Linked DNA regions of Mus musculus. The protein of the gene in region 4 purifies or fractionates together with the protein of the main gene of each other region. This does not show direct contact. Links are inferred from orthologs where the notes say so. Each region holds a gene or a part of one and is shown on either strand. Other genes may lie near its edges. The genes, in order: Kpna6, Hnrnpm, H2ax and Lmna.

Region 1 (5,110 bases), on a different chromosome or scaffold from region 4:
GTATCTACCACATGGATCCTTACAGGGGCAAATTCTCAGTTTGTTGGCTTAACAAAAGAATACAAAAGATAAAACAAAAAAAAAATATACTGGACAAAACTGGTCTAGAATGTGCCAGGAAGCCTGTCTCTTACCACCTCTCAGGGAAGTGCGGCTTGAAGCTGCCACTGCTCAGAATCTATAGTTCAGTGCACCTAGCCTTGCACACTTCCCCAGCCTGCTAGGGAAGCTTGTCACTAACTATCCTGTCTCCGTCCTGGATCTGCAGGGACCTGGAGAAGTTTGGGTTTTTTTCCTTTGAGAAGTTAGAATCTAAGCCTGAAAAATACCCAAGAGGATGGATACCAAAATGAGTGAGCCTGGAAGAGAAGAGCTGGGGTCTGAATAAAGAGTGCAGAGGCCTCCAGGACGTGTAGAACTGTGAGCTGCTAGCTCTGCAGGCAGACAGAAACACACTTCCTCTGTGTGGGAAGTGTGTCTTTGTACCGGCTTGGTTTCAAAGAAAGAAACTCCACGCAGAAGCACCGTCTTTTCCTCTCCCTCAGCTAAAATCCCACTGCAGCTCTAGCCCACAGTTAGCTTCAGAACATAGGCTACTGGGGATGACTCCCAGGGGCAGCAGAAAGGGGAAGTGGTAGATACAAGGTCCCGGGTAAAGGGGACACCAAAAGGTCTTCCAAACCAGGCTACCAATACCTGCTCCTCGGAAGCACTTGTGTGCACAGACCCAGGTAACAACGGTACCAAGCAAGCTGGAACTCATACAGTAATACCAAAAGGCTACAACCAACATCCAGGGCCATGATCACTGGGGAGGGCTGGAAACTGAAGTCAGTCGGCCAGGAGCCGACTGTGAGGGACACCTAGAGTAGAGCAGCTAGATAGATAACCAACCTCTTCCATGTGGCACAGGATCTGCTCTGAAGCCAGAGATAATGGAAAACGGGCAGAGGAAAGCAGGACATTTGTGTCTCATGCTGAGGATCTGGCTCCAGGGCCAGGGTCCTAACTGTCACTTGAGAGGTTCAGGGGTCTACTCTTCAGATAAGGACGATGATGGCTTCATAGAGGACTTTTCTTTGAACTAGGAGCAGTTTCAGTCAGGTTAAAAACAAAAGGGCCAGCACCTTGCCTTCCCGGAAGGCACTCGCCAGCGTGGTCCAATGTTGGTTGAACTTTTCAGTATTAACTGCCTGCCCTGAAGAGGAATCTGGAGCAGGAACTCAAAACTAAAGGAGAGACGGCAGACGGAAAGGCAGAGGCCAGCAGCAAGAACCTCAACTTCAGATCTGCAAATGTGGGGCACAGAGAGATCTGCTGGAACAGGAGGAACAGTGCTGTTCTAGAGAGCGGCTAAGGGTGTGGGGGATCACCACAGCAGGGCACTGTGCTGCCACCTCCACAGGTGGTCTGCCCAGCTGACACTGTACCCAGCTCCCAGAGCTTGGTTTTAGTGTACTGTGTAACCCCTGAAAACAGGTCAGCCTCTGAGGTACTGAACTGTCTTTATTCAAGAAGGAGGGAGGGAGAGAGGGAGGGGGAGAGAGAGGGAGGGAAGAGAGGAGGAGGGGGGAGAGAGGTGGGAGGGGGAAAGAGGGAGAAAGGGAAATGCAAGCTAGGTACAAGGATCTTTAGAAGGGAGATGCCAACAGGGTTCATTGTGGGTAACAGTGAGTTAGAGAAGGCAGGATGCTTTTTGCTTGGGAGCAAGGAACAGAGAGAGCAGCAGACTCCATCAGGCCTTGCTCCCTTCAGGCTGGGAACAATCAGACCCAGCTGATTTACTTCATAAAGGTTCCAGAAGTGAGAGTTGGTCCCAAGTGGTGGCCCAGAATACAAGCAGAGAAAATAAGGACTGAGTTCAGCCCTGTGAGCAGAAACTTGTTCGTCTTTCTGGTCTTCCTCACAGTATCCCACTCACATCCAGTTTGTCCTCCTAAAACCAATTAAGACTGACCTACTTAAAATACAGACTATTAAAAAAACAACAGAACTTTTTGCCATTCTCTCCTTTGGAAGTGAAATATACATGATCCAGCTATGGCAGAAGGAAGAAGAAAGGCCAAAGGCAGGGATTCATGACTATCCCGATACACGACACTAACTCCAACCTCCTCTGCAACTTAGGGGTCATCAGAGCAAGGACTTTCTCCTCAGGAGAAGGAAGGACCACAGCCCCCCATCTCAAGCTCAGGAGAAAACACAGCCACCTCAGAGGTTCATTCAACTCTGAGGTGAATTTTCAAGTAAACAAATGAAGTTGGGTCGCACCATTTAGGAGGTGGGTAGGAAACAGGGTCAGTAGCTACACAGGAGAAGCCCTGTCTAAAGGCCTGTGCCCCTCCCTTCCACTCCACTGGTATACTTGCTCCAGGAGAGTGAGGGGGATCCTCCCAAACTAAAGAGGTCTTAGGCATAGGGTTAGAGGGAGGGAGGGATCTTTGTCTCATGGGGGCCTCCCCATTAGCCTCTATTTCCAGACGATGCTGGTGGCTGGGTTACTAAATCCAGCTTTTTGGGAAGAACAACCTTAATACAAGAAAAATGTGCAAAAGAAAAAATTAAATAATCCAAGCATACAAGATTAATATGGGTCAGAGCAAGAACACTTTGTTTGGGACTTCTCCCCTCCCCTCCCACCTCCCACCTCTGGAATATTCCATCTGCTCAAGTACCCAAGAGTTACACACGTCAGGGCAGAGGACTGGGATGGATGAAGAAAGATAATTGGGAAGGAAGTCACCACTAAAGAAAATAAAAGAAAAAAATTTTAAAGGTGCAAATTGATTACCTCAGTCCTCCTTTGTCTACCCCTGGGCTCCTGGGTTAAAGACATGTGCAGCCAAAATAGTGTAAGGAAGAGAAACCCACACGTCCCCTTCTTGTCTCAAAACCCAATGTGAGCCTCAGATGGTTCTGTCTGTCCAGAGGGCGCTTGCTCCCTCCAGGGAAGGGGATGAACAGGTCGAGAGCACAGTCTCGGGGCAGCAGGTGTGCGGGGCTGCTGGTGGGGTGGCTGCTCTCCTGCCCACCAGAAGGCTGCTCCTCTCTCTGCTGGCTGCTGGTGCTTCCCGTGCCCTCCCCTCCCCGGAGGCAGACATTATAGCTGGAAGCCCTCCATGGGGGCCTCAGGCTGCTGGAAGATGAACTGCTGTTGCGTCTCATCCACCTGAGGAGCCAGGCTGCTGTCGTCATCCTCTACACCAAAGTAGTGCTCAATGAGGTCAAAGGCCTTCTGGTAGATTTCCTGGTTCTCGTGGCTCTGGAGAAACTCAATTTTATCCAAGCCTACGGTGTAAGAAGAAAACAGGTCTGTACCTCTCCTTTCCTGAAGTACAAGTTCCCAACCAAAAGCAGTGGGAACATATCCACCCCTGGCTTGTGTAAAGTGCTTGCCCTGAAAACCTGAGTTCACTCCCCAGGATGCAAGGCCAGGAATGGTGGCCGGGGCCTGTAACCCTAGCAGGGGTTGTGGGAAGAGGATACAGTCGGGACAAACCAGCTGGGGTTTGTTTTCTGGTTGGCTTGTTAACCTAGATTACTCTGAGGAGTGATAGCTCAGACTGACCTCTGGTCTGCACACACATATACAATGTGATTGACTAGAGGGTTGAGACCAAATTCTGTTGCAAGCTAACTCTGAGCTAATCATGGTGAGCTAGTTAACATCTAATTAACATCTGAGCTAATCATCTGAGATGGGTTGGTTAAGGCAATCAGGGTTTTCCAGGAGAGACTGTTGGAATGCAGCTTCTAGCTCCTGGTAGTAGAACCAAATTTTACCCTGTTCCTCCTTGCATACATTTGAGGTAGGTGGTGTCTATGAGAACAGCACTGACCTATGGCTCCTCAGAGGGAGGAGGAGATGGTGGGACAGGGAAACTTGATAGTGATAATAACCATTACTTCTATCTACCCAGCTGGTCAGTACGAGTCAGCTACTCCCAAGGGAAAGTCTGAAACCCTGTGCTTGGACTAGCTTGGCTGCAACAGGAACTCATCACTGGTTTTAGAAGCAGAGACTCAAGGGCTGGTGAGATGACTCAGCAGGTTAAGGTGATTTCTGCCAAGTCTGACAACCTGGGTTCAATCCTAGGAACCAACATGGTGAAGGGAGAGAACTGACTTCTTCAGGTTGTCCTCTGACCTTCATCCCACATGTGCCATATCATGTACACCCACACTCATACATGCATATGCACACAAATGAATGGATAAATGTATTCCCAAGTTTCACAGAACAATTGAATGTGCTCCAACATCTTCCCCATTAACAGACATAGGTGAGGTCAGGGAGAGGACCTACCATAGGCTTCCTCGATGAGGCCACAGTAGGGATTGACCCCTGAGCCACTACGCTTGCTTTCTTGCTCTCCAAGCCGAAGAATGTTCTCTAGTCCATTGAGGGCCACTTGCACAATTTTTGAATCCATTACAGTCAGCAAGTCACACAGGGGCTTAATGCAGCCCAGTGATACCAGGTACCTGGGGACCAGAGAGGACATGCGCGCTACATGAATGCAGAACACATAAAGTGCACCAGGTGCTTTGACCTGTGCGTCTCCCTCACACACCAATTTTCCCAACAAGGCACTCTTCCTGTTGCCCACCTAAGCCACCTTCTTAACTCTGCACTGACCTATTCCCTAATGAACACGGAGTCCTATTGTCCCCTTGGCTACAACGTTATTACCCTACACACGTTAAGAAGTTCCTCAGGTTCCTATTTGTCCTGAGTACAACTTGTACAGTATGGAGGTACAGACTGTCTGTCATCTGGACCCTTCCTCTGTAGCTCTACTCAGAATATTCCATACTGAGGTTATTAAATTGTGCTCAAAGATCTTCAGATTTCTGACTCCTGGACCTTTATATATTTTTATCTAAAAAGGCCTACATATAATGCTGTATTTACTCCTCCTCCCTACTCTGGCACCCTTTTAAACATGATTTCTCTTTGTAGCCCTAGCTTGCTTGGGATTCACTACATGGTTGGCTGACTTTGTTCTCAGACTGCAGTGGTACACACGCCATCATGTTCATCTTATGTTTTCTTTCTAATGTTTAAGTCAATAGCTCTTCCTTTCTCCTGAGACATCAGTATGTACAG
Region 2 (5,966 bases), on a different chromosome or scaffold from region 4:
TAGAGTAAATGGTGATATTTTTATTCTCTGCAAGGACAAATACTTTTAGAACTGAGTGGGTTCACAAGTTAAAAGGGGGGAAAGACTTAAAAGGAGAGTGACTTTTTGGGATTTTCAAGACAGTTTCTCAGTGGTGTTGCATTGGTGGGCCTTTGGCTCAAGAGATCTACCTGCCTTTGCCTTCTCTGTGCTGAGATTAAAGGCAGGTACCACCACCATCCTGCTGACTTTTTTAAGTATGAGGGGGAAAGCTTGTTAAATGTGAGGAGACTTATTCTGTTCCATTTAAGAAGAGAGGCAATAAATAGCAGAGTTAAGGCCCAGTTTTGCAGTCCTATTTAAAAATTCAACTGAAGTTAATTTTCTTGTAAAGTCAGTCAAAGCAATCTTAATATAGTAAAAGTGTGTCTTTTTCCCCAGAGAAGTTTACCTTGAAGTTTTCACCTTCTTCTTTCACCTAGCTGGATTATAAAGTTGGCTGGAAGAAACTGAAGGAAGTATTTAGTATGGCTGGTGTGGTGGTCCGAGCAGACATTCTGGAAGATAAAGATGGGAAAAGTCGTGGAATAGGCATTGTGACTTTTGAACAGTCCATTGAAGCTGTGCAAGCAATATGTATCCTTTTGTGGGAATTCAGCTCATGGCAAACAGTGCCCCCAGCACTGTTAGGCAATAGCATACCTAGGTATATTACGACAACAAGGTAGAAGTAACTATTTTCTCTGTGACTAGAGTAAATAGATTACTATGGAATCTGAAATTTTTCTGGAGTAGAACACAGATGGATAAAAGGTGTGGTTGTATCATAGACACATGCTATGAATGGTCTTTTCTTTTCAGAGGAGTTTAGGAAATAAACCATTTATGAGAACTGAGGGTTTTTCTTTTTTTCTTTTTCTTTTTGGTTTTTTTTTTCCAGACAGGGTTTCTGTGTGTAGCACTGGCTGTCCTAGAACTCACTCTGTAGACCAGGCTGGCCTCGAACTCAGAAATTCGCCTGTCTCTGCCTCCCAAGTGCTGGGATCAAAGGCGTGCGCCACCACGCCCGGTAGAACTGAGGCTTTTATTTCTTTATAATATATCCTTATGGACTCTGTCTGTTGTAGAGAGACGTTGTTTGAAGAGATCCCTTTCCTTGCTGTAGGCTTGCCCTCGGGTTACATCTTTTTAATTACAGTGAGTATGTCACACATAACTACAGAAATTAAACTCAGGAGACTATTACTGGTTGCTTTACCCAGAAAACATGATATTTCAGAAATACTAAAGACTCTTGGTCTGTTGAACACATAGATAACTGCTTTAACTAATTACCAGAAGCATTTTGCAGTGTAAAGTCATTACTAAAACTTCATACCTAGAGAGTTGAAATTTCTTATGAGTTCACTGGTAGCTATGGAGGTGTTACCTTTTTAACATTTTATATGGTATGCTTTAACAGTTGTTAGAAATAGCCTTAATTGTAATACCAGCTATGTTTAATGGCCAGTTGCTGTTTGATAGACCGATGCACGTCAAGATGGTAAGTTACTAGGATCACTTTCTTTGTAATGTGTTCAAGTAAGCTAGGAAAAATGTAGAATTACTAAAACTGTATCTAGCCCTTAAACTAAACCTGTTATTTAGTAGGCTGCAGAGTGATGAGTCTCTCTGCTCATGGAAGTTGTTTTCTGTACATTCCTGCCTGGTTGATTATTACTGTTAACTCCTATGTTCAGGAAGCCCATTGAGTATCCTGCGTGAGCTACAAAGAATCAGCTACAAAGGATCTTTAGCATAGAACTCCAGTTTTCAAAGTATAACATACAGTGCTTGGTTAGTATAATGAACAGGTATTTGATTCAGACAGCTTTTAAAGGTCTGTTGGAGTTCAGTCTTAATAAACAGTAACCCTACTATAACATTGCCAAAGATAATAATTTATAGAAACAGTATTAGAAGATATTGAGGCCAGTCTGGGTTAGGATTCAGATTCAGGAATAAAATAAAAGGAGCTATAAATTTTGTTATTTGAAGGAGTTTAAGTCTTTGAATAGCTAATGGATTCATAAGACTCAAAAACAAAAAAAAAAAAAAAAAATTAAAAGAGGGGCTGGAAAGTTGGCTCAGCTATTCTTCCATAAGACCCCGTTTTAGTTCTAGCACCCACATGACAGCTCACCACTGTCTGTAACAATAGTTCCAACACCTTCAGACAGATACACATGTAGGGTAAAAAAGCAATGCACATAAGATAAACAAACAAAAAAAAGAAATGATGTTTTGAGCCTCACTAGTACTTATTGCTCAGGTTCTGCTCTACATACCCAATAATACAAATGTATATTTATCCTTCCTGTTGGCATAGAAGATAAAATACCTCTCAAATACCTCTTTGTGTTTGATATAATTATTCTGTGCCATGGCTATGTCATAGTTTATTTATATTTAACTAGTTAACTTGTTTGTTTAGTTTAAATTTTTGCTTTTTCCCTGGTGCTAGGGACTGGACACAGGGCCTTGTATGTGATAGGCAGGTGTTTTATCTCTGGGCTACATCTGCAAACCTGTCTTTGTTATTATTGTTTGTTTGTCTTTTGTTTCATTTTTTTTGTGACAGTTTTGTGTAATGTAAACTATCCTAGAACTTGCTGTGTATCCCAAAGCTGGCCTTGAATTCCTGATCCTTTTGTGTAAGTCTCTCAAATATTGGGATTACAGGTGTGCAGCACACACACAGTACCTGACCTCTTTGGTTCTTTGTTGTGGTAATTGTTTCTCATCTTTTGCTATTGGTGCTCCAGTGGAGATTAAGATCTTTTTTCTTTTTCTTTTTTTCCAGGATGAGAGGGCTTTACCAAAGGGAGACTTTTTTCCTCCTGAACGCCCACAGCAACTTCCCCGTGAGTATATGAATTATACTAAATAGAAACTGTTCCAGTTAAATTTATACTTGCAGTTGTGGAAAGTTACCCTGGGGATTCTTGTGATCTGTTTGTCCTGTCACCACCCCACCCTACACAGGTTGCACTATGTAGCCTTGGATAGCCTGGAACTCACAGAGATCTGCTTGCCTCTGCCTCCTTAGTGCTGGGATTAATGGTGTGCACTGTATCGTGCATGTCTTGATTAGTCGTTTTCTATAGGTTTTTCAGGATAAGAAATGAGTAAAGAAATTTACGACTTAAGAGTAAATTTGATAGTGGCACTGGCTCAGAGGATAAAGGCATCTTATGCAAAACCTGATGACTAGAGTTTAACCCCTGGCACCCACGTGCTCGAGGGAGAGAATGAGTCCTTCAAGTTGTCCTCTGACCTCTATTCGTGTGTGGCTTTGTTGGAGATGATAAGTCACTGGGGCAGGCTTCAAGATTTCATAGGCCCACAATATCCACAGTTAACTCTCTGCTTTGTCTTTGTAAAAATGTTAGCTTTTTGGCAGTGGTGGCGCACGCCTTTAATCCCAGCACTCAGGAGGCAGGCGGATTTCTGAGTTCAAGGCCAGCCTGGTCTACAGAGTGAGTTCCAGGACAGCCAGGGCTACACAGAGAAATCCTGTTTTTTTTTTTGGGGGGGGGGGGCTTTTTTTTTTCTTCTTTTTTTTATTTTTTGGTTTTTCCGAGACAGGGTTTCTCTGTGTAGCCCTGGCTGTCCTGGAACTCACTCTGTAGACCAGGCTGGCCTCGAACTCAGAAATCCGCCTGCCTCTGCCTCCTGAGTGCTGGGATTAAAGGCGTGCGCCACCACACCCGGCTTTTTTTTTTTTTTTTTTCTTCTTTTCTTTTCTGAAGTTAGCTTTTAATTACTTTTCTAGTACCATGCCTGCCTTTCTGTCGCCATGCTCCCTGCCATGATGGTCAGGGAGTCTAACTCCTGGAACCATGAGCTCCATACTAATCTTTTTTTAATGAGTTGCCTTGGTCCTGGTATCTTGTCTTATCACAGCATTAGGAAAGTAACACATCGTGTTTCTCTGTTGCAGACACTTTTAAAGAAGGGCTCTTGGATTATACAGGCTGTCCAGATATAGAGAGCAAAATTATACAGTTTGAAAGTGTCTTGGAGTAGATGGGTGGTTAAACAAATTGAATAAATGCCAAGTTGAGCTGGATTTTGCTGTATAGTCAGTCTATCAGTATCCCTTTTAGGTGTATTCTAAGGACTAAACCTAATGTCCACATGAAGAAATGACATAAATGCTTAGAACAGCGTGTCTCATTAGTCAAAAAGTCAAGCCAGACTTGTTGGTAGTCTAAAGCAGGCAAATATGAGTTCAATGATGGTCTGAGTACACAGGTAGATGTTATTTTAAAAGGGAAGGGAGAATGTTGGAACTGATTCATTAATTTATGTATAGATAACTAAAATTTGGCAAAATCGGTTGATTAGTCAAAAGGGGGTGGGGGTGGAGCCACAATTTGGAAGAGATAAACCTTGTTTCCAACTGTGGGCAATGCCCAGAACAGGTGGGTCTAAAAGGCAGAAGATAGTTCCATGGTGCTGAGGAGAGAGCTGACTGCTATTGGAGATGAGGTTTTTAAAGTGATGAGAAAGTTAATGAAATTGTGATAATTGCTAGCTTGAAAGGGCCTGTAGCTTTAAGAATAGGTCAAAAAAATGCAGATATAGTGATTGAACACTTAGCAAAGGTTAGTCAGATTACCCAGTAGCAAAAAAGGGGTCAGGGAGACAGGAGATGGCTTGTCTGTTGAAAGGACAATATTTCCTTACTACCTGTCTGCAAGCAGGTGGTCACTTAACATGCTTGTTGTGGTTCTTGTTGATGCTTGTGCTAGAGGTAAAGGAGCACTGAGCCCCAGGGAACCTATTATCCCTGGTTCTTGGTCTCTTGGTATGACTCAAAGGGTTGACCTCAGAGCTTTGAGTACATTGGAATAATAACCCTTGGTGACTTATTGGAGTTGTTGCCATGCAATTAAAAACCTACTTGATAGATTAAGTACCTAGAGCCTGTTGAGGTTTTTTGTTGTTCGTTATCTTGGTTTAAGTGTCAGGCCTCAGTGGCTCTTTCCGATACCAGTCTGCATTTCTTGTTTCTTTAGTTGTGTTTGTAGAGCATAGCAGTGAGGATGTGCTGGATATCAATTTAGTAATTCTTGAGGTGCTAGCACACATCTGTGATGCCAGCATTCAGAGGGTGGAGGCAAGATGATCTTAAGTTGGAAGCCAGCCTTGGGCTGCATAATAAGACCTTGTTTTTAAAAGAAGGGGGCAAAGAGGGCAGGGGAGAGAGAAAGGTTAGATTTCTTTAGGGATAAAAAACAAACAAAAAACTGGGATGGGGCTCAGGCAGGGACATGTGGATCTTTGTAAGTTTGAGGCCAGAGAGGGCTACATAGTGGTACTATATATATTATTTTATTTGTTTCTTTAGTGCATTCATTTTGTGTGTGTATCTCTGTGTATGCATGTTAATGTGCAGATGCTTGAAGGTCATAGGGCAAATGAATGCACCAGCTTTCTCTACCATAGGTTCTGGAGGTAGAATTCGGGATTGGGAGTAAGGTCCTTAACCTTAAGTCATCTTGCCAGCCTGCGAACTGACTTTTTAGCTGCCCTTGTTGTGTAGGTACATATTTCATACTCCAGTCTCTGACTGTATGTCCAAAGCTGCACCTTCAGAAAGAGGGACACTCACAGGGATGCAGGTGTGTAGGTGTTGAAGTCAAGTCAGGCCCTGGGCTTGCTTGGTCTAGGGGTAAAGCACGGCAGCTAGAATATACCAGTTGTCTGCGGGTCACCATGTTTTCAGAAAGGGAAGCCATATTCTTGACTTTCTCTGCTTCTTTCAGATGGACTTGGTGGTATTGGCATGGGATTAGGACCTGGAGGTCAGCCTATTGATGCCAACCATCTGAGCAAAGGCATTGGAATGGGAAACCTAGGACCTGCAGGTGAGAATTGTAGTGGGGATAAATGGGGAAAATTGAATTTATTAAAAGCCACTATTAGTGCACTTGAAATCT
Region 3 (5,587 bases), on a different chromosome or scaffold from region 4:
AAATCCGCCTGCCTCTGCCTCCTGAGTGCTGGGATCAAAGGTGTGCGCCATCACGCCCGGCCTCAGTACTCTTCTTAGTAACCAGGGTGCAGAGGTCTCTGATTCAGTCAAATGAAATTATCTTCCCATTGCAGACTCAACGCAAAGACAGGCAAACTGGAAATGAGCTATTCCAAGTTCAAGACCAAGAACCTCTCTTTCCTGGGCACCTTTATTTTAAAGGTAACAAGGTAACAGGAGGTAAGGCCCGAGGCCGCCATCCTTAACTTGGGAAAAGAGAAACCTAGGCCTTTTCAGGCCCAAGGGGAGTTTGGGAACATCAAGAAGATCCCTATTCGTGAAGTAGATCTGCATAACTGAAGTCATCTTCACCTCTGGTCCCTGCAGGTAGCAGAGAACCTCCGGTTAGTGACAGTTCACCAAGGTGAGAGTGAGGACGGTGCCTTCACTGAGTGTAACAACATGACCCTCATCAACTTGCTACTTAAAGTCTTTGGGCCTATACATGAGAGAAACCTCACCCTGCTCCTGCTGCTCCTGCAGGTACAGCTCAGGGTGGGGCTTAGTAATGCCATGGCGTTTACATCTCTGGTTGGCCTTGCTTCTAATTCCAGTCCACTTCTCCCAGGTCCTAAGCAGCGCCGCCACCTTCTCCATTCGTTACCAACTCGTCCGACTCTTCTATGATGTCTGAGCTCCCTGACAGCTGCCCTTTACCTCACAGTCTCCATTGGACCTCAGCCAGGACCAGCCTCTGTCTGGTCCGAGATGACCCTCTGGTCCAGGCCTCGCTGACACTTTTGTTCTCAGCTTCTGCCATCTGTGACTACTGATATCCTGGATGGACACCTTGCTGGACTTGAAGTCCGCTAGTTGGACTTTGCCTAGGGCTTTCATCTTGCCTTGCCCTCCCTTTCTGTCCCATCTGCAGCCTCACCAGGTGGGCTTGTAGCCTCTATTATGCAAATATTCGTAGCTCAGCTTTCAGAGCGCTAACTCTAAAGGAATTCACCTGAGCCTTGAGAGAGAACCTGGGCTAGGGCTAGAGTTAGGGCTACATACTCCAAGGTGACCTCACATTTGACTATCAAATGAAGTGTTGTGATTGGGAAGCGTAGAGGCAGGGCCATGTGCTCAGAACGGTGACAATAAAGGACTGCCTTTTACTTGTTCCTCTAGTGTAGCATCCCCTCCCTCTGTCCTTTTTAACCTTCGTGGTGCTTCAGGAGTGAACACCGGGGCTTCCTTATACTTAACTGCTCTACCACTGAACTATATGCCAAGTCTGGTATATTTATTTTTTATATAGGCATTTTAGGATAGATTGGAAGGGTTAGACCGGGTACCTTTCCCAATAGGATACCGATCTCTGTTCCATCAGACCCTTTCTTGCAAAAAAGGCCTGTCACAAACTAAGACCAGACAGAACATGTTGAATAAATATCGCAGCACAAACTTGTGATAGCATAAAAGATCACAGTGCTCCATTTTCTGGCATAGGATTAAACTCCTAGGAGGTTTCATTTCGTTTCTTTTAAACCCTCCCTCCCTTTAATCTGCACTAGGGAGGCAGAGGCAGGCTGATCTCTGAGTTCCAGGACAGGCAGGGCTACTCAGAGAAACCCTGTCTCAAACAAACAAAAGCCAGATGGTGGTGGCGCACGCCTTTAATCCTCAGGCTTGGGAGGCAGAGGCAGGCGGATCTCTGAATTCAAGGCCAGCCTGGTCTACAGAGTGAGTTCCAGGACAGCCAGGGCTACACAGAGAAACCCTGTCTCGAAAAACAAACAAACAAACCTAAAAATAATAATGAACAAATAAACCCTCCGTCTACCAGATTAGAGGAGGGAGTGGGAAGTGCTCTAACCTGGAAGGAGAACGCTGCTTATAGTGTAGACCCTTTTCCTTTAAGACCAAAGACCGACTCAAATTTCCCAGAAACTGTAGAGGTAGCTCCAAGCTCCACCCTTCTAGTCTTCAGGTTTTGTTGTCGCGCCGTAGCGTTTAAATTTCGCGCGCTCTACACGGATTGGCCATTTCCAGGGGTGAGCAGCCTCCGGCTTGCGGCCACTCCGCCTTGTCTTCTTCCCCGGGTAAAAGGTTTTCAAATTGGACCAATCACTGGGCGCGTTCTCTCAGCTAAGGCGCGTCACCGAAGGGTTAATTGCAACCAACCAGAGGTGGGTATTAAAAAAGGAACCAATCAGGAGGAAGCGGGGGCGTGTCCAGGGAGTTTATAAGGCCGGGCTTGGCCGGCCAGGCGACCGTTGACTGCGGCGGTTGGTAGTTCGTGGTCTCTCAGCGTTGTTCGCAGCTCTTCTACCTCGTACACTATGTCCGGACGCGGCAAGACCGGCGGCAAGGCCCGCGCCAAGGCCAAGTCGCGCTCTTCACGCGCCGGCCTTCAGTTCCCTGTAGGCCGCGTACACCGGCTGCTGCGGAAAGGCCACTACGCCGAGCGCGTGGGCGCAGGCGCGCCGGTGTACCTGGCAGCGGTGCTCGAGTACCTCACTGCCGAGATCCTGGAGCTGGCGGGCAACGCGGCCCGCGACAACAAGAAGACGCGCATCATCCCGCGCCACCTGCAGCTGGCCATCCGCAACGACGAGGAGCTCAACAAGCTGCTGGGCGGCGTGACCATCGCGCAGGGCGGCGTCCTGCCCAACATCCAGGCCGTGCTGCTGCCCAAGAAGAGCAGCGCCACCGTGGGGCCCAAGGCGCCGGCGGTCGGCAAGAAGGCCTCGCAGGCCTCTCAGGAGTACTGAGGGGGCCCGCGCCGAGGCCGCCCAGCCCTCCCCACACCTCCACAAAGGCCCTTTTAAGGGCCACCACCTCCCTCACAGAAAGAGCTGAGCCACTTCGGGCTGCGGCGGCTTGCCGCGTCCCCATCCTTTCTCTTTCCCTCCTCTCCCCTCCCCGCCCTCGCGCCACTCTTCCCCTTACCCCGCACGGCCTCCGGTTCTGCCACGGAGGACGCGGGCGCCGCGGCACCTGCCCATCCCGGAGCTCGTGACATCGCTTCGCCGTTCTCGGTTGTGGACGACGGCTCCGTGCGGAGAGGCTGCGGCGCCTTCCCGGAGTCTCGGCCCCTCGCTCAGACGTCCGGCCGCGGTGGGCTTGAAGGTTAGTCCCTCCGCAGCTACAGCCCCGGCGTCTTTGCTTCAGCTTGGTGCTTAGCCCTCGCCTGGACCTTTGAAAAGTGACTTGATTGCCGGGCTTAGAGGAGGAGAAATGGATCACATTGTTTCCTTCGGTGTCACCGTTGCTGGCCTCATACCAGTTGACCCTGTCGCCATTCGTAGGCCAGTGTGGTGTGGCGGGGCCAAAAATGGTTGTAATGTGAACCCAGTTTCTCTAGGAATACCTCCCGGCAAGGGTCAGAGAGACGCTTACCGGCCTGTGGACAAGAGTTCTATACCTGCCGCAGGCGACTGGCAGCCGGGCCTAGCCATCCATCCCCTCTTCCCCAGCGACTCAACTACAACCCAAACACCTAGATACCAGCACAAGCCGGTGAATCCCTGTCTGGACTGAGCCTCTGGCTTCTGAACTGGAACTTTTGCAGCTATTACAAGTTTAGAACCTTAAGTGGGGAGATTTAATGGGCTAATTTTATTAAAGGATCGTTTGGTTTTGTTTTTTTAAAAAAGTGGTTTAATGTTGAATGCTGTAGTCCCAGGGCTGGACATATAGCTCCGTGGTAGAGCCATGTGCCTGGCACATCTTGGGAGAGAATGGGACTTCCCTTTCTGCAGGCCGTGGGAGTGGGAAAGGCTATGTAATCCACGAAGATCCCGTTGACTGAAGACAGGCTGTAGGAATTGAAGGCTGATTTTTTTTTTTTTTTTTTTTTTTTTTTTTTTTTGAGAACATGAGGCAAATCACAGCGTGTTTTACAACAGAAAGGTCTCAGACTCAATTCAAGTTTAAAAGGGCTTTGGGTTTATTCATATCTTCCCCAACTCTATCAGAAGAACCACATTCTAAACTGGTTTATTAGTGGTATTGGTTACATTCAAAGATTGGCATGGACTTTCTCTAAAGAGATGAAGCCCCCAACTACTGAGGGAAAGGCAGATATGGAGGCCCCAAGGTGAGGCATATCTTCCAAAGTGGAAGTCTCAACAACCCCGTGGTTCAATTTCCTGGGATAATCACATCCCTAGGGATGGAGCACAGGGCACTTGGAAGCCAGAAGTAGGCAGTGGAGTGGCAGCCAGGGTTCCTGTGCCCTACAGACCAGTTAGCGCACATCATTAAGCTGCCGTGCAACATCCAGGATGTTCTTGGCTCCTTTGTTGAGCAGCAAGCTGGCCAGGCTGATGCCCAGGTTCTCAGCAGCTAGCTGGGCTCCTCTTGGAATGTTACGGGCAGTGATTCCAACCAGTTGTGGGTCATCTTCTGGACCATCTTCTTGCTGGATGACAGGTTACAATTTTGGTAAGAGGAAGATTACAAGCAGTTCTATTTATTCCTTCCTCATCTCCCAGTCAATACCTGAACAGGGACCTGGATGGTGGCCTGCATAGTCTCTTGCATGCTATCTGAGCCATCTAGACTCCAGACTCCACCAGTCAGGTACAGCTAGGAAATAAAATGTTTGTACCAGGATATTTAAAGAAAGTTACTTAGATGTTTCGGTGCACATGGAAATGACAGTCCCTCCCCTCATCCATTTCCCTGGCTTACTTGCCCATCTTTCATCACTGTATGCACTGCTACGGGCACGCTGCAGCCTCCTTCCTGCAATGATATGTTCCTTTGAGCTCTAAGGGCCTTTAACACCACTTTTGACCACAGACCTCAAGGGGCCAGATCAAGGTCCTCTCCATACATACAAAACATTACATACTGAGTACTTGACAAATCTCTCTCCCTACTGCCCTTCCTGGTTTCCCCACAACACCATGGGAGGAGCCCATCTTACCAGGTGCCTCAGAAAAGCCCTTTCAGCAATGCAGCGAAGCAGAGTTTCAGGATCGTGCAACACACTCACTAGGTCCAAGATATCCTGGTCCTTGGCTCGGACTTCCACGGCTAGGGCTCCCTAAAGAACAACAGGCCTGATCTTCTCTAGTAATAGAGCTAAGCATGAGAAACACACCTCTACCTGCTTCCCTGGGTCTTATGCATAACAACCAAACCTGTCCCTCTCTAAACATCTTATTTGATGGATAGCAGGTGCCAAAGGTTATGAACCAGGTTCTCTCCAGGCAAACCTACCTGACCCACAGCATACATGCATTCTTCTGGGTGCAAAATCTGTGGAGAGAGACAAGATGGTGGGATAGGGGATGTTCAAAGGCAGTGAGCTAGGGTTTGCCAATCTAGGAAGCCTGGGGAAGGCACAGGTAGGAAGTCCAGCAATGAGTCCCAATATCCCTAGCCTGGGCTTCTGGTTGTAGTGTTGTTGGCAGAATGGTCAGGAAGAAATCAAGGCAGGAGAGAGGCAGATTCAATGGGAAGCAGAACAGGGCAGCTCCTACCTGGCCCACCCGGTTCTGCCAGCCCATGCGCTGTAGGCCAGCCACAGCCAGGACGATGGCACTGAATTCCTGCAGCTCATCCAGCTTCCGGAGGCGGGTGT
Region 4 (5,319 bases):
CCTGTGAACCAGGGTGGTCTTTTCAGTGGCTGGGAGTTCTTGGTTCTCGTGGAGCATCTGTCTCCCTATCTGAGAATTTGGAGTGTGTGGTAGTCCTGTCATCTTTAAATTGTTGGGAAGATGCATGATATAGGGATGGGTGACCCTTGAGCCAATAGTCTAGGTTTGAATGCCAGAGGTAGTGGTGGCAAGCCTGTCTTTCTTTTCTTTTTCTTTTTCTTTTTCTTTTTCTTTTTCTCTTTCTTCTCTCTTTTTTTTTTTTCCGATGGGGTCTTGCCCAGGTTGGCTTTGATCTCCCTAGATTAAGCTGTTCCCCTGCCTCAGCCTCCATAGTAGCTGGAACTGCAGGCGCACACTGGCGCCCAGCCTACCTAAGCTCCTGAGTGAGATAATCCAAGAGTCGGTTGAACTCCCTGTCCTCCTTCCTCCTTCCTCCTTCCTCCACCCTACTTCAGGACCAGTCCATGGGCAACTGGCAGATCAGGCGTCAGAATGGTGACGATCCTTTGATGACCTATCGCTTCCCACCGAAGTTCACCCTAAAGGCTGGGCAGGTGGTGACGGTGAGTGGAAGGGCACTTGGGACTCTGGCTGGAGTGGAGAAGTTGGCCTCAGGACAGGAGCATTAAAAATAAGCACATCTCTTAAACCATCTTTTCCCAGATCTGGGCTTCAGGAGCTGGGGCCACCCATAGCCCCCCTACTGACTTGGTGTGGAAGGCGCAGAACACCTGGGGCTGTGGGAGCAGCCTTCGCACCGCTCTCATCAACTCCACTGGAGAAGTGAGTATGTTGCAGCCGGTAGCTTGCTGGACAAGGCTCCCCCTGGTGGCCATAATGGGAACTAGCTACCTCCAACCCAAGGGAACCTGCCTTGGGTTTAGGATCGCTTTCCTGAGCCCAAGTCCCACCCAGTAAGCAAGCCAGAAGTCTCCCCAGTAGAATAATGGGTGGAAGTCAGCCAGTGAGTGTTAATAGCAGACTCCAGCTTACAGAGCACCGAGCTCTCAGTTGTGTCCTTTTTGCGCGTGCGTGCGCGCGTGTGCACATGTGCATGTGTTTATCCTTAGTCCCCAGCATCAGAGGTTGGACAAGGTTGTATAAAGGCCCGGGACAGTTCTAAGTGGTTACTATGGGTAGACAGGCTGCACAGCCCTCACCCCCTGACTCTTGGGCCTGGGCTTATGTCCCCACAGGAAGTGGCCATGCGCAAGCTGGTGCGCTCACTGACCATGGTTGAGGACAATGAGGATGACGACGAGGATGGAGAAGAGCTCCTCCATCACCACCGTGTGAGTGGCAGCCGCCGCTGAGGCCCAGCCCACAAGGGTAGCCCTGCCAGCCTAGGGCAGCTCTCCCACCTCCATGCCAAAGTCTTTTCATTAAAGAATGTTTTGGAATGCCACTTGCTGCCCTGGCCTTTCTTCTCTCTCCTCCCTCTACCTTGAACAGGGAACCCAGGTGTCTGGTAAGGAAGGGAGTGGGGACTTGCTGATGCCATGGATACTCCACGGTGGCAGTGGACAGGGTTCTGGATTTGTGTCCTGGGAAGGGGCTGGGAGGACAGAGGTGGCCCCAGCCCTGCCTCTCTTCCTCACTCCCATTGCATGCACACTTCTCTCCTCTCTCCTTCCACCCTATTGCATGCTTCTCCTCAGATTTCCCTGCAACAATGTTCTCTTTCCTTCCTGTCCCCTCACAAATTAAGTCTCTCCATCTTTGCTCTTCCTCTTGATTGCCCCATAAGTGTCTAAGATTCAGGAGAGAGTTAAAGCCACAGCTCTTTATTTCGAAGGCTTCCTGGCTATTTCCCCCATCATGCCCTTCCTCCCAGCCACAGGTCTCCCAAGTCCCCATCACTTGGTTGTCTGGGTACAGACAGAGGTCACCTTCCTGCCCAATGGCCAGGAAGCTCCAAGAGCCCACAGCCTAGGTGCCGGTCCTAAGAAGTCAGTCCCAAACTCGCTGTCCCTCCTGAGCCTTGTCTCCCTTCCCAGGGTTCCCACTGCAGCGGCTCGGGGGACCCCGCTGAGTACAACCTGCGCTCACGCACCGTGCTGTGCGGGACGTGTGGGCAGCCTGCTGACAAGGCTGCCGGTGGAGCGGGAGCCCAGGTGGGCGGATCCATCTCCTCTGGCTCTTCTGCCTCCAGTGTCACAGTCACTCGAAGCTTCCGCAGTGTGGGGGGCAGTGGGGGTGGCAGCTTCGGGGACAACCTAGTCACCCGCTCCTACCTCCTGGGCAACTCCAGTCCCCGGAGCCAGGTGAGTCATCTCTGCCCTACAGCAGGACACTGCTCACTGAGCAGCAGGGCAGGGCAGCCCAAGGGAGTGGGGTCCCCCTCCTTGCAGTCCCTCTTGCATCCTGCCCCTCCTGTCTGAACCCCAGACTCGAGGTCAGGGCAAGGCCCAGAGTGTGAGGGTTGGGGAGACAACCCCCTTTGGGGTCAGGGAGGGAGAGGAAGGGCCAGCCACTGCTGCTCACACCTCTGCCTTCTCTTCTCTCTTAGAGCTCCCAGAACTGCAGCATCATGTAATCTGGGACCTGCCAGGCAGGGCTGGGGGCAGAGGCCACCTGCTCCCCCCTCACCACATGCCACCTCCTGTCTGCTCCTTAGGAGAGCAGGCCTGAAGCCAAAGAAAAATTTATCCCCTGCCTTTGGTTTTTTTTTTTTTTCTTCTATTTTTTTTTTCTTTTTCTAAGAGAAGTTATTTTCTACAGTGGTTTTATACTGAAGGAAAAACTCAAGCAAAAAAAAAAAAAATCTTTATCTCAATCCTAAGTCCTTCCCCTTTCTTTCCTTGTATCTGCCTTAAAACCAAAGGGCTTCTCTAGGAGCCCAGGGAAAGGACTGCTTTTTATAGAGTCTAGATTTTTGTCCTGCTGCCTTGGCTTTACCCTCATCCCAGGACCCTGTGACAATGGTGCCTGAGAGGCAGGCATGGAGTTCTCTTCACCAGCCTCCTCCAACAGCTGGCCCACTGCCACGCCAGCTGCAGAGAAATGGGGCGCAGAGAGGATGACTGAGAAGGTCAAGCCCCTCCCCGGCACTACACGAGGCCGAGGCTCCTCTGCCTGCCTTACCTTCTTCCTGCCCTTCCCTAGCCTGGGGCGAGTGGATTCCCAGAGGCAAATCTGCCGTGCTTGCTTTTTCTATATTTTATTTAGACAAGAGATGGGAATGACGGGGAAGGAGAAGGGAAGATCAGTTTGAGCCTACCTTTTCCCAGCTTCTGAGCCTGGTGGGCTCTGTCTCAATGATGGAGGGCAATGTCAAGTGGGATACAGGGAAGAGTGGGGGACGAAGGCTCCCAGAGATGGGGAGAACCTGCTGGGGCTGGTGAGAAGTCTAGAGGTGCGGCGATTGGTGGCTACAGCAAACACTAAGGAACCCTTCACCCCATTTCCCATCTGCACCTCTGCTCTCCCCTCCAAATCAATACACTAGTTGTTTCCATCCCAGATGCTGTGGTGTCTCTTTGTTGGGTGTGATGTGTGTTTTCAGGGGCAGACACATGCACACAGAGGTGCCACACATTCACTATATATTCACTACCCAGCTATAAAGGTGTGTATGAGGGAGACTTCTAGAAAGGTCAGCATATGTGGGGTGAGCGAGGGGTGTCCTTCCTATCCCTCATCCATCCAGCACCTTTTAAAAGGGGCCAGCAATCCACATGTGCATCAGACACAGGAGCACAGAGAGACGGAGGGTAGAGTAGGGGCCAGAAGTAGCAGAGCTTCCCTTGCTGCCCCTGTAGTCGCAGGGCTCTGGATGCTGTGATTGCCTCTGTAGGCCGAGATACTCTTAGGAAAGGAAAGAAAAGGTGGGGTGTGGTGAGTTTGAGGCTAATCTGGTATTCACAAGACCCTGTTTCAAAAGTCTTTCTTGGAGCCCAGCAGTGGTGATGCACGCCTTTAATCCCAGCATTTGGGAGGCAGAAGCAGGCAGATTTCTGAGTTCGAGGCCAGCCTGCTCTACAGAGTGAGTTCCAGGACAGTCAGGGCTACATAGAGAAACCCTGTCTCAAGAAACCAAACCAAAACTAAACAAAAGTCTTTTCCTGGGAGAAGAGCTGGGCGTTCAGTCAAAAGTGATTGAGGGCTGGAGCAATGACTCTGAAATGAAGAGAACCTGAGTTGGGTTCCCAGCCCCCCAGTCAAGTAGCTCCCACTGCCTGTAACTCCAGCTCGAGGACATACAACATGTCTCCAGAATGCCAAGTCTATGTACTTCACATATGAGCACCCACCCCACACACATGTACACCCGAATTCACATCCACACACAATCAAACCTTTTTAAATCATTGAACCAGTCATGCTATTGCATGCCTTTAATTCCAGCACTCCAGAGTCAGGTGGATCTCTGAGTTCAAGGCCAGCCTGTTTTACATAACAAGTTCCAGCAACCAGGGCTTTATAGGAGAGACCCTGTCTCAAAAACAAAACAAAAAAATCACAACAACAAAAACAAAACAAGAAACAAAACCCAAAGTGATTGAGTCCAAGAGATGTCTTCATTGGTAGAGACACGTGCTAAACCTAAACCCCACCCCTGAGACACGCATGGTGGAAGGAGAGAGCTAATTCCTGCACGTGATCTTCTGACCTCCATGTTGCCATATGCAGTGTGATTCCATTCTTGGGGAGATTGAACAAATTACTTATTTTTAAAACGAAAGAGAGAGAGAGAACCCAGCTGCCACTCTTCAACTGACTTACCAGAAGGAAAAAGAAAACTGGTTCTCCTCTACCCTGTTATAAAAACCAACCCTACCAACTGAATGTTCCTCCATTCTAGATCCCATGTGTCTCTCTATCCATCCTCCTGACCTCTCACTCTATGGTTTTTTTCCCTGTGTTCACTCCCTGTCAACTGGTTGCTTGCTCCACCTCTTGACCTGTGGTTGACTTTATTAATCTTGTTTACAATAAACAGAAAGCTTTTGAATTAAAGGTGTGTGCTAGAGCTGAGCTACACCAAGACTAGAAACAGGTTTTTCCAGTGTCCAGTCTTGGGGTTCACAATATGATATAACAGTGACTACTAATCTCAGACAGAAAAATGACAATAGATCAAAGTAAGGGCCACCAAAGCCCAACTTGGTGAACCAGTGAAGTTTATTGGGATAACTGACAGAGTAGAGGTGAGGGGTTAATGAATCAAAGATGGCTGCCTCACCAAAGCTCGCCCAGCATGGGTGACAGATAGCTCAGGAGAGCTGGGAACCTGGAGGTCAGCCCACAGCTGCAGGCAGCACAGCAGGTCAGAGAATGTCCTTTCCAGGTGACTCAGCTTCCAGGCAGATCAACTAG

The links.
Region 1: the proteins of Lmna (region 4) and Kpna6 purify together in Homo sapiens (affinity purification with mass spectrometry; 4 studies listed by BioGRID and IntAct, with this or other methods). This does not show direct contact. The link is inferred for Mus musculus from reciprocal best matches to the Homo sapiens genes LMNA and KPNA6.
Region 2: the proteins of Lmna (region 4) and Hnrnpm fractionate together in Homo sapiens (co-fractionation; 3 studies listed by BioGRID, with this or other methods). This does not show direct contact. The link is inferred for Mus musculus from reciprocal best matches to the Homo sapiens genes LMNA and HNRNPM.
Region 3: the proteins of Lmna (region 4) and H2ax purify together in Homo sapiens (affinity purification with mass spectrometry; 3 studies listed by BioGRID and IntAct, with this or other methods). This does not show direct contact. The link is inferred for Mus musculus from reciprocal best matches to the Homo sapiens genes LMNA and H2AX.

Annotation. Positions count from the first base shown.
Region 1 is NC_000070.6:129,644,892-129,650,001, forward strand, and holds part of Kpna6 (importin subunit alpha-7), read right to left. Parts: intron 4,486-5,110; coding exon 4,307-4,485; intron 3,289-4,306; coding exon 3,101-3,288; 3' UTR 1-3,100. UniProt on the Homo sapiens protein: Functions in nuclear protein import as an adapter protein for nuclear receptor KPNB1. Binds specifically and directly to substrates containing either a simple or bipartite NLS motif.
Region 2 is NC_000083.6:33,660,141-33,666,106, reverse strand, and holds part of Hnrnpm (heterogeneous nuclear ribonucleoprotein M), read left to right. Parts: intron 1-461; coding exon 462-615; intron 616-1,472; coding exon 1,473-1,522; intron 1,523-2,821; coding exon 2,822-2,882; intron 2,883-5,792; coding exon 5,793-5,894; intron 5,895-5,966. UniProt on the Homo sapiens protein: Pre-mRNA binding protein in vivo, binds avidly to poly(G) and poly(U) RNA homopolymers in vitro. Involved in splicing.
Region 3 is NC_000075.6:44,332,429-44,338,015, forward strand, and holds H2ax (histone H2AX), read left to right. Parts: upstream 1-2,286; 5' UTR 2,287-2,333; coding exon 2,334-2,765; 3' UTR 2,766-3,649; downstream 3,650-5,587. Other genes in the region: Dpagt1 (UDP-N-acetylglucosamine--dolichyl-phosphate N-acetylglucosaminephosphotransferase), read left to right, coding at 135-222, 388-543, 629-694; Hmbs (porphobilinogen deaminase), read right to left, coding at 4,244-4,417, 4,498-4,584, 4,690-4,743, 4,928-5,047, 5,224-5,262, 5,487-5,587. UniProt on the Homo sapiens protein: Variant histone H2A which replaces conventional H2A in a subset of nucleosomes. Nucleosomes wrap and compact DNA into chromatin, limiting DNA accessibility to the cellular machineries which require DNA as a template.
Region 4 is NC_000069.6:88,479,291-88,484,609, reverse strand, and holds the end of Lmna (prelamin-A/C isoform A precursor), read left to right. Parts: intron 1-455; coding exon 456-563; intron 564-663; coding exon 664-783; intron 784-1,196; coding exon 1,197-1,292; coding exon of another isoform or gene 1,293-1,313; exon of another isoform or gene 1,314-1,405; intron 1,406-1,997; coding exon 1,998-2,264; intron 2,265-2,509; coding exon 2,510-2,536; 3' UTR 2,537-3,462; downstream 3,463-5,319.